Ovis aries: one gene and its partners. The protein of the gene in region 2 purifies or fractionates together with the protein of the main gene of each other region. This does not show direct contact. Links are inferred from orthologs where the notes say so. Each region holds a gene or a part of one and is shown on either strand. Other genes may lie near its edges. The genes, in order: NPLOC4, UBXN7 and KLHDC3.

What was found.
Region 1: the proteins of UBXN7 (region 2) and NPLOC4 purify together in Homo sapiens (affinity purification with mass spectrometry; 3 studies listed by BioGRID and IntAct, with this or other methods). This does not show direct contact. The link is inferred for Ovis aries from reciprocal best matches to the Homo sapiens genes UBXN7 and NPLOC4.
Region 3: the proteins of UBXN7 (region 2) and KLHDC3 purify together in Homo sapiens (affinity purification with mass spectrometry; 3 studies listed by BioGRID and IntAct, with this or other methods). This does not show direct contact. The link is inferred for Ovis aries from reciprocal best matches to the Homo sapiens genes UBXN7 and KLHDC3.

What each region holds. Positions count from the first base shown.
Region 1 is NC_056064.1:50,689,214-50,692,863, forward strand, and holds part of NPLOC4 (nuclear protein localization protein 4 homolog), read left to right. Parts: intron 1-1,367; coding exon 1,368-1,454; intron 1,455-3,391; coding exon 3,392-3,463; intron 3,464-3,650. UniProt on the Homo sapiens protein: The ternary complex containing UFD1, VCP and NPLOC4 binds ubiquitinated proteins and is necessary for the export of misfolded proteins from the ER to the cytoplasm, where they are degraded by the proteasome.
Region 2 is NC_056054.1:191,771,209-191,774,858, forward strand, and holds part of UBXN7 (UBX domain-containing protein 7), read right to left. Parts: intron 1,645-3,650; coding exon 1,498-1,644; intron 162-1,497; coding exon 71-161; intron 1-70. UniProt on the Homo sapiens protein: Ubiquitin-binding adapter that links a subset of NEDD8-associated cullin ring ligases (CRLs) to the segregase VCP/p97, to regulate turnover of their ubiquitination substrates.
Region 3 is NC_056073.1:16,656,318-16,659,967, reverse strand, and holds part of KLHDC3 (kelch domain-containing protein 3), read right to left. Parts: intron 3,456-3,650; exon of another isoform or gene 3,434-3,455; coding exon of another isoform or gene 3,355-3,433; intron 1,545-3,354; coding exon 1,397-1,544; intron 1,262-1,396; coding exon 1,195-1,261; intron 1,118-1,194; coding exon 1,013-1,117; intron 732-1,012; coding exon 657-731; intron 573-656; coding exon 455-572; intron 13-454; coding exon 1-12. UniProt on the Homo sapiens protein: Substrate-recognition component of a Cul2-RING (CRL2) E3 ubiquitin-protein ligase complex of the DesCEND (destruction via C-end degrons) pathway, which recognizes a C-degron located at the extreme C terminus of target proteins, leading to their ubiquitination and degradation.

The DNA of each region.
Region 1 (3,650 bases), on a different chromosome or scaffold from region 2:
TGTCGTCTACCCCCTTGACATTCTTGTTACTTTTTGAGAGCCACAGAGGAACTGTTGGACCAGGCCTTCTGTGATGGTTCACTTGTAAGGAGATGGAAGATGGCAGTAGGTGCTCACCCAGGAGACCCTGCTTGTCCAACCCTTCAGGTGCTGAATGTGCTCTGTAAGCAGGATCTGCTTTTGGAAGCACATGATGTTCCAGTTCAGCTTTGAGGAGGGTCCTTTCATGAAGTAGTTTAACAGTTCTGTTTAGAGTATGATTGAACAAAAAATGGAATCAGAAGCCTTTGGCGTCGAAACTACTCACAGCATCATCAGAGCTCCCAAATTGGGGATCCTGGAGGTTGAAACATGTGACCTCTAATAACCTCCAGCTCATTAGAAGTTGAAGCTCATGATGCCACATGTCATGAAACAAAAATCCTTAGGTTTGTTCTGAGTTTGTACTTTGAGCTGTGCTCTGGGTGTAGTAATCATCTCCATATGGGTCATACCCAGCAACATAAAGTTCTTTTGTTATTTTGCCAGGATTTGACTAATTTACAAGGATATACCCAATTAGCATAACTCAATTTGGAATTACCTTCACTTTCCTGTTTCATAGCTGTGTCTTCTGCTCAGTATGATGCTTAACTTATGAGCTGCATTTTGGTGCACATTAAAGATTTCAGCATGCTTTGTCTGCTGCAAGAAGTGGAGTCCTGTGGCCAGTGTAGGTTGCATGTGAGCCAGCCCAAGCCCCCCACTGCCCCAAGCTGAGTCAACAGGATACCCACTTCAGGTGCCCTTTTGTTGGCTTAGAGTGTGTTTATCTTCTGTGCTCTCTTATTCTGCCTTGCCCATGAAGCTAAGCACTGTCCCTGTAGAAGTTGTATGCAGGTTGCTAAGCACTGTCCCTGTATAAGTTGTGTGCAGGTTTTCCAAAGCTGTTTTTTCTGGGAATGAATGTTACTTTGTAACTCTAACCTTGCCTAATCTAGCCAAGTTTACTTGGAGTTAAACTATTTATCCAAGGGAGTTTTGAAACTAACTTCTATTCCAAACCAAGGAATCTTAAGGTGTAGAGAGCCTTCTCTAGTCCTGAACAACCACACGTTTCATGTGGAGCTGCTAACGTGAACCAGCCTGAATATTGCCTCTTCCATGTTCTCTGAATCTTGATCAAAAGCAAAGCCGAGCCCTGGAAGGAAAGAGCCTGGAGGGCTTGGCTTGTGGATCTGATTGAGCTTTTTTTACTGTTGAAAATCTCCTGTTTGGCAAGGGAGATTGGTGCTCCTTTGTGACAACCAACCAGAAATGGAGCAGAGCTGCTTGCTGCTTTTCTGAACTCCTCCTCTGAATCCGCCTTCTCTTTAATACCCCCACAGATTGGTACACAGAATAGCTTGGAGCTTCTTGAAGACCCAAAGGCCGAGGTGGTTGATGAAATTGCTGCCAAACTTGGCCTGAGGAAGGTACTGAGACTGTTTTTCCTTGAGGGAGGACCTGGGCTCTGTGTTGGGGACATCTAGGTGTGTTGCGTAGCCAGGCCTGATCCGGGACTGAACCCCCAGCTGCTCAAGGTCAGATGCAGGCCCTGCACGTTTTGAAGCCTCGCTTGTATTTATTGGGTGCCTAAAAAAGGATGCCAGTGTAGGGACTATTATGTGTAAATCCACCAGACATACTTCTTGCGGATTGCCTCAAAGTGGGCCAGGAAAAGCAGCAGGAGCAAGACCCCTACTTCTGCTGCAGGGGACCTGACACCAGGCTCTGTGTCCCACCTGCCTGCTAAGGCACATCCTTCTGGGTGTGAGCTCTCCCTTCATGTGTCTGTCTGCACCGATCATTTTCTCTCCCCTGCACTTGGAGATTCTGGTGGTTCCTCTTCAGTCCTCATTGAACCTCCTGTTTGTAATTGAGGCATCTGAGCATATAAGCCTTGCTAGTTTTCTGGGCAGTTAGAAGACAGAGGGTTTTCTCTTTGAACCTGTTCATCTAGTTTATCTCACATCTTTGGTAGAGTTCCTAGGAACTATAAAGATGACTTTTTATAGATAATGTTGAAATGTGAATTTGAACACATCTTAAAAATTCACTATTAATAGCTACGTAAGTTTTATCCTTTGTTTCCTAATCAGTTTAGACAGAGAGAAAAAGACTCTGTACAGATAAATGGGGGAAGACTGGAAATGTGCCTTTTAACCCAGGAATGCTATGGAGCAAAGTTACTACTTCATTTTAAGAAAAAAGACTCCTGTTGTTTCTAACAAGGAGTCAGTATCATGATTTAGGGGCGTATTTTGGTTTAAATTCTGAAAGTTTCTCATGTTGAAAAGAGAAATCAATGTTTTTTTTTTAAACCCATTTTTGTTATAAATGTTTGGTTCGTGGTAGACTAGAAGATCTTGAAATTACTTAAATGCCTTTCTCGAAACACTAATTCCTTAGCCCTTATCTCAGCTTGATTTTGATTCTGTTTTGTTTAATGGTTAAATTACATTTATCCCTTAAGTCTCATTTTCTCCATTGCCATCCTCCTTGGGAGTTTTGTTCATTTGGACATTTTTAAAGAAAATGAAAGCCTCTTGATTTGGCTGGTCATGTCTGCAGGAGATGGAGTTGAAGAGTTTCATGTCAGGGTTGTACTGGAGAGGGTCACAGACACCAGGTCACTTCTTTGAAGGACTGAAATAGGTGTGTATCTGGATTCCATCGCTGCTCTTCGACCTCCCAGCCAGGTTCTGGTTCAGGAAGGGTAACCAGCTGTGAGATTCATGGGCACAGGAGGGCCAGGGTTCACAGAGCGCATAGACAGGCACTGTTGCTGTAGCAGGACGTGCCAGGAAGGCTGACTATGCCGAGGTCTGGGATTGGCGTTTCAGATTCCTGTACCTTCAGATGCTTCCTTCAGCCCTGCACTGGCGCTCAGAGAAGCAGCTGGGTGAAGTCTCTGTTGTGTGTTTTCTTTTATTTTAAGTGCATTCTCTAGGGAGTATGTTCTCCTGTCTGGAGAAAGCCCTAGCATCTGGAGCGGCACTGTCTGTATTTGCTTGCTCGTTGTTTCTCCAATCCCCTTTTCACTGATACTCTGTTAGTTTTGTCCATCCCAGAGTCCCCTGCACCTAGTACAGTGCTGGGCCCAGAGATGGCGCTGAGTCTTAGTTTCTAACACATAAATGAGCTTTGCTCCTTTGCTCTCGTCTCCACCCGGCAGCATCAGGGGGAGTTCAACCAGTGTCAGCTGAGTACTGCTTGAGAACCCTGGTTTGGACAGTGGCTTAGCTGAGGAGCTGACTCACCTAGAAAGAAAGGACTGACTCCCAGGAGTCTCCTCTCTGGGCAGAGGCTAGAAGGCATTTGTCATCTGCTTCAGGGAGAGACTCAGAAGGTACTTTTCTCTCTTATGCAGGTTGGCTGGATATTTACAGATCTTGTCTCAGAAGATACTCGGAAGGGTACAGTTCGATACAGTCGAAATAAGGTGAGGTGGGGTGGGGATGTTTGCTTGGCGGGACCTTGTTACAGACCAGCTCTGGGCCGCACTCTTGGGTATCCCCGCACAGCTTACGTTTTTAGAACACATCATTTTCAACACATTGTTCTTGGTAAATTAAGGCTGAGTCTGTTCATTCTGTGTTGGAAATCAAAACCCTCCTTACCTTTATAAA
Region 2 (3,650 bases):
AATTGAAGATTATTTAGGTAATTGAAAGATACACGATAGGTTAAAGGCCGTAAGCTGAAATACACCTTACCTGTCCGTGGATCCAAGATGGAAACATAGGGGAAATCCCCTAGCTTATAAAACTGTATGTATCTCTGACCTTCCTCACTGTCGTGATAGACCTGTTAAGTCATTATACATATTAAAAAAAAAAATCAGCCTCTTAAAAAAGTACCTTGTTATATACCAACAGCTATTAATTCTCCAAAAACACCTTTGGCATATTAGGCTCTCATTGCCTACAGAGAAAATGAAGGTCACCTAATGTGAACTCTTCACTTCCTGCCTTCAGAGTCACTTCTGACCCTTACAGAAATACAGCAATCCATCCTTCCTCCTTGACCCAGTTCTTCCTTTTCAAGTCACCTGTCCATCTATGTCACTTCTGATTCTCAACTACACATATCTTAATAAATCACAATATGTTAAGATTATCAACTCAAGTGCCCAGCATACCTCTAGGCAAACAGATGCTCAATCAATAGTTGCTGAATAAAAGGTTACTGTTCAGAAAAAAACTTACTGAATTCAGGGGCCTGTAAAGAATGAACTGGCAAATTACTAACATTAACAGCATATCTTAGAGTGGGGAAAAAATTAATTCAGAAGTTTTTATTTTTTATAAAAATTTTTTTTGCTGCATTGCACAGCATGCAGGATCTTAATTCCCTGACCAGAGATTGAATCCGTGCTAGAACAAGATCACCTACTGTTAGCATGGTAATTTATATAAAAAGAAACCAGAGCCAGAAAGACTAAGTGACAAATTTAAGGACATACAGTTAAAGATTACCAAACTCAAGCTAAAATCAACATATTAAACAAAAGTTTCTCAATTCCTTCAAATCTTCTACATCTGCACTATCAATTATAGTAGCCCCCAGAACATGCGCTACTGAAGCATTTGAAATGTGACTAATCCTAACTGCTATACTATAAATGTAAAATACATACTAGATCCTGAAAACTTAACACCCCCCCAAAAAAACAAACCCACAACCCAAATGCCTCAATCAATATTTTAACATTAGTTTTATATCACAGATACTGATTTTTAAAATATATTAAAATCAATTACCTGTTTCTTTTGACTTTTAAAAATGTGGCTACAATAAAATTTTAATCATATTACATTTCTGTTAAACAGTACAGCTATACACTCTTATCAAGATGGTTAAAAAATGATGTTAAAATTCTTCTGAAGTATGCGTACTATATGGTTATATGGCTTGGTTCTTTTTTTTTTTGGCTTGCTTCCGTTTTTTCCTCCTTCCCTTCACTGATGCTCTAATTTTCTTTTGTCTTTACTATCTTACCCATTATGGGTGGCTTTATGTTTTCATATGTAATAATTCAATTCAGCTGGTTTTTTTTTTAGCTTATAACCTACTTCCTCCTCCTAGACACCACATACTACCAAAGTAAAATGCTATAAAATGTTTGATTAACTCTCCCCACCTGCCAGAAAATGAAATGTTCCCGGATAATATTCTTCACAGCTTCGTTGCTCCATACATCACGGTTGAGGCACTGGCATGCAAAGTCTTGTACATTTTGAATGTTTATCATCAGCCACTTATTTTGCATTTGGCCACACTCTTTGGCCTGTAAGAATAAAGTTACATAACAATTATTAGAAAGTTTCTACTTGGTAACAGGTGTGTTTCAGAATTCAGAAGTTATCTTCTTTCCATGTAAATACTAAGTTTTTTTGCTCAAGTATGACACCTAGAGTTTTCTGTGTATAAACATTAATTACATTTTTGCTTATATATACATGTATATACATTATACAGTCCATTTGCAAGCATTTTTCTAATTTAAATGAACTGTTTTCCTTTTATCCATTGTTATTTATTAGAGTGGCTGCATTTTATTGCACTGGTAAACATGTAAACCTCTTCACCTGAAAAAGATTCCACAAACAAGGGTACGATTCTATTGTGCTTTCTCTACTAATCCCTATCCAAAAATATACCTCTTCTTTTTAATAACTGTAACCAGTATGTGTGTATTAGTTTGTTATTTTTTTCAACATCATTTTACATACATTTCCAAATATCATATTCATCTCAATTATTAGGCACATGGCATTTTATAGATTCACTCTATGAATCTTTGACTAGAAGCTGCTGAGGATTTTTTCTCTCAGGGTTGTTTTCCTAGGTGTGTGTTTAAAAACTGAAACTACAGATGAAAGGATGTTTCAGAATGATCTCCAAAAGACTCTCCAATTTACAGCACAAGTATCAGTTATGAGTGTGTACTTTTTTTTCCCTTACATTGCCTTATCACAACATTGATCTAAGAAATATTACTGAACTGGAAAAGGATGGAAGAAAAGCAAATGAGCAAAAGCTACCTCAAACCCTCTTATAGAAACAATGACATGGAAGTCATAGCTTTTAAATGATTTTGTCAGAGAAACAATATATTTTTTCCCCAAATCAGTGTGACATGGGAAAGTCTTAAGAATCAGCTAAAACTCAGATTAATAATAACTGAAGAACATGTATCATTTCGGAGGTATTGGAAAACGTAAGACTATCTTCTGTTTAATAAGCAGGTTTACACAATCTTAAAAAATTGTTATTCTCCTTTTCTATACACATCTTCCAGAGAAAATAATTTTATAATATTCATTACTGATTCCAAAGGTGAAAATCTAAGTTCTAAAAGGAAGTAGCTTTATAATGAGCCAGAAAGCTACAATTAACCGGTCAAAAGCTTATTTTTAAGTATATAAAATCTAATAACTCCTTGCTTCTAGGAAGTGATAGTATTCCACTTAATCCCTTGCCTATAGCAAGCATGTGGATTTAAAAAATGGGTGGTAAGTGAGTAATTATACTGCTTTAACTGAAGAAAAGTATTTGAGAAGAAAGAAAAAACATTCTAGAGGGACAGACTAAATAGTACACATCCCTATAAGGTAAATTTACTAAGTCTGCCTTAACTGCAACACTGACCAAAAAAAAACCCCAAAAAACAAACAAAAAAACCCCACGTAACACTGAAAAATTTTTAAAAGGCAGAGTTCAAAAACAATGAGAGCTATCTGCTACTGTTTTTAAAAATTCATCTATTCACAGTCATGCTTTCATTCATTCAAATTCATTCATTCAACAGACATTTGAGTATCTACCATGTTTCAGGTAGAGCTATAGATGCTGGAGTTATAGCAGTTACCAAACCAAAAAATCCCTTCCTGCACAAAGCTTACAATGGGAGAAGCCTTATATAAGCAAAAGCAACTGAAAGATGTTAAGAAATTACTTTTAATGCAAATCAAAAATCAAAACTACAATGAGGTGTCACCTCACACCAGTCAGGATGGCCATCAATAAATAAATCTACAAAAAACAAATGCTGGAGAGGCTGTAAGGGAACCCTCCTACACTGTTGGAAAAGTACGTAAAGAGGATATAGAGGAAAACTTAATCTATTTCAATAAATATATATGCATAAAGTTGAAAACAAAATATACTAAAATATGCACTATACTTTCTTATGGAAATGGAAACTATTATTTTTCCTTGTTGCTTTTTTTTGGCTGTGCCTCATGGCATATGGAATCTTAGTTCCCCAAGCAGGGATCAAACCCACACCTA
Region 3 (3,650 bases), on a different chromosome or scaffold from region 2:
GGCGCTGCTCAGCTAGAGGGCAAGGAGAAAGAAAATCAGTAAGCAAAGGATGAAGTCTCCCTGCCTCCCCTTGCCCCAGGTCAGTAACTCTTAACCACTACGCAGGGATATGTGACTCATCAGGGGTTCACTGGTGTGTAAAAGCAGACTTCCACAACTCCACTCTTTCTCAATTCAACCAACCATGAGCTCCTTCTCTGTGCCCAACCCAACATATGAGGGGGCATGACAAAGATAAGTGACACTCCCTGCCCACAGTCTCATTAGGGATATGAGAATGGTTACAAACGACGACTTCCTATTACTACTGTTTCTACTTTCCTCTAAGTTACCATGGGATCCAGCCTTCATGCCTCCCTTAGGCAGCTCCAGGAACCCCTAACACAGCATCCATCACTATGGCTACCCAGTCTCTGCCCCTGTGTCTCGTGGGCCGTAGCTGTGCCCCGCTCACATTTCTTCAGGAAGTATGGCCGATGACCCTGCTGGGCCTGAGCCCGCCGCTCCTGCTTCAGGGCCAGGCGCAGCTCCTGCTGCCGCTTCCGTTCCTTCTGGGCCATTTCTTGCTGCTCCTGTGGAGCGGAGATGAGAGGAGTGAGACAGGTGAACGGCAGGGACTGTGAATCACCTCCCGCCCCATACTCCGACCCTCTCACCATTCGCTGAAGCAGGTGCTGTAGTTTCTCATGCTCCTCCCCTGAACGGCGCTTCTTCAGCTGCTTTTTCACCAGCTCCATATTGGAAAATGAGTATGATGGTTAACGTTCTGTAAATGTTACCTGAAACTTTGTGCCAAGCATCATTCTAAGAGGTTCACATACGTTAACTCACAGTAACACTATGAAATGGAACTATTAGCTTTTTGTGATATGGAAACTGAACTGAAAAGAGGTTAAGTATTTTGCCAATGATCACACAACTAGCAATCTGATTCGCCCTGCTCCCCTCTGCTTCTCTAACCTGTGCTCTAGTCCCTCCTGGAATCCCCACAAACCAGCCGCATGCTACTCACCTCTTTCTCTCTGGCTCGGATGTCATCTAGGAATTGATATGTTTTATCGAACACCTCAGGATTATACTCCCCTGACAGATCATCAAAGCGGGGGTCCCGGGCTACCTTTGGAGAGAACAGAGAATATAAGAGAACCGTTCTGTCTCCTTTCCCTGAGAAAATGCTCACTGCCTCCGCCTCACCTTCTTACTGATGGGGACAACCTGACGCAAAAATGGCACCCGGACCTTGGCTGACATTTCCAGAGGCCTATGGAAAAAGTGAAGGACAGGTCAAGGGAACGCCAGTCTCATTAAAGGCCTCCCACCTGCCACCCAAGAAAGCAGACACCTACTCAAGTAGGGGTCTTTCCCTCCAACTCCCGGGAAAGGCCTTGCTCCTCACCTGTGCTTATCTGCAACACATGCTTTTTGGACAGGTGGTCTACAACTCTGCTTCTTAGTGCTGCTTCCTGTTACCAGTTGTTTGTAGGCTTTAGTCCCCACTTGGCTCTGCAGTTCCAACAGCTCCTCGAATGACATGTGAGATGTGTCTGGGAAAGGAAGTGGGGGTGGGGGGACTGCAACTCAGCTCAGCATCTGCCACTGCTGCAGACATCGCCCCATCCTCCTTCCTTAGGTAAGTGACCCTTTAGACCGATCGCTGCAGGCTCCAGGCAACACAGGTTGTAATGGTGCTCCACTAACACCTAACGCCCCAACTATTCCAGCTATCTGGGGCCTCACCTTGCTAAGGAAGCTATACATGTAAGGCTGGAGATGGACTAACCCACAGTCTCTTCGTTTTCCCCTTCTCTTTTAAATTTCTCTTTCACAGGTTTTCCCACAAAGACCTCTGTCTCCGTTCGTTGCTCAGCTACCTTTATTCTGGTTCAGTTTACGCTCAGCATCTCACCTCACTTAGGGCTCTAGCCTCCTTACTGCTCGCCCAACCACCAGTCTCACTGCTTTCAAAGCTATCTCTCAACTTCAGCCTCCAGTTGTTGGTGTTCAGCCACTAAGTTGTGTCTGACTCTTTACAACTCCATGGGTTGCAGCATGCCAGGCCTCCCTGTCTCTGTTTCTCGGAGTTTGCCCAAGTTCATGTTCACTGAACATGGGAGAGATGCCTAAAAGGCAAATCTGGGATTAGGGGGTAAATTGGCAGACTGGGATTGACATATACACACTATTATATAGAAAAGAGATAGCGAATAAGGACCAACTGTATAGCACAGGGGAACTCTTGTCAATACTCTGTAATGACCCATACAGAAAAGAATCCAAAAAAGTGGATATACGTATAACTGATTCACTTTGCTGTACCCCTAAAACAAACAGAGTATTGTAAATCAACTATACTCCAATAAAAACTGTTTTTTAAAAAAGGAAGGAAACTACTAGAGACATGAAGTTTTCACTTTAACTTCTTTAAATAATAAAGTAGCTTTCTCTTTCCAAAAAAAGAGGCAAATTGATCTTATCGCTCCCATGTCATTTCCACATACATATTTTTTAGATCACTTTCTCCAGACTCCGTACTCCCCAATGGCTTCCATCTTACTCAAGAGTAAAAGCTTTGGGTTTGTAATAGCCTGAAGATCCCATGTGACCTATCGCATTTTGTCTCTGATCTCCTCTTCTACTATCTCTTTCCTACTCCTCTCCAGTCAACTGGCCTCCAAGCGGTTCCTAAGCAAGCAAGTATATTCCCATCTCAGTTCCTCTGCACCTGACTTGGCCTCTGCCTGTAACACTTTCACCAGCTGTATTGCTTGCTCCCTTACCTCCTTCGCAGGGTTTCTCAAATGCCACCACCTATTCAGTGAGGCCTTCTGTGATTACTTAACACCATAACCCCTCCCGTTTTCTCTTCAAAGCTCTTATCACCTTTCTCAAAACTATAGAATAATTCACATACCATAAAACTTAGCCTTTAAAAATATGCAATTCCTTAGGTCTCCGTGCCTTTTTTTTAACCCCCAAAGAGTAAGCTTCATGAGAGCAGTTTTGGGCTGCTTTACTCACTGTTGTACCTCCAGCATCTAGAACTGTGCCTGCGTACAATAGATATTCAATAGTGGCGAAATTTGTTGAATCTTCACCTAAGTCTTCCCCAATAATCAATGCCCTTCTGACTCTGCTTTGGAAAGTAAGTTTTCTTCCTGCGAAAAACCCTCTTTGCCCTTTAAAAAACTAACTCAGTAAGTATCCTCTCACTCCCCACTTTCTAGGGCGTTGGGGGGCGCTCCCGGTGTCTGCGTCTTTCAGACAACTTGGCAGTCTCGGGGTGAGCCCGCATCAGACGCGGAGCCCCTCTCCCGGCCCTCAGCGCTTCCCCTCATCCCGGCACCGTGCCCTCACCATTCTGCAGGCTCCCGTCATCCTGAGCCCTGCTGGGAGGCCCTGCAACCGCCCCGCCACGGTAGCTTGCTCTCGGCATGGCTTCAGCGGCGTATTGGACTAATGGCGTTACTTCCGCCACGCAGGCTTCCGCCCCGCCCCTTCCGGAAGGTTTGGTGTCAGCACCGCAGATCCCGCCCACCCCTGGGCGGGGCAGAGCGGGTTGCTGGTGGGCGGCCGGGGTACCCTCCCTGGGCGGAAAGCGGCCACCCGTGTACAGAACGTCGCCACGTTTTTGTCGCGAGGCGCTGCACTCC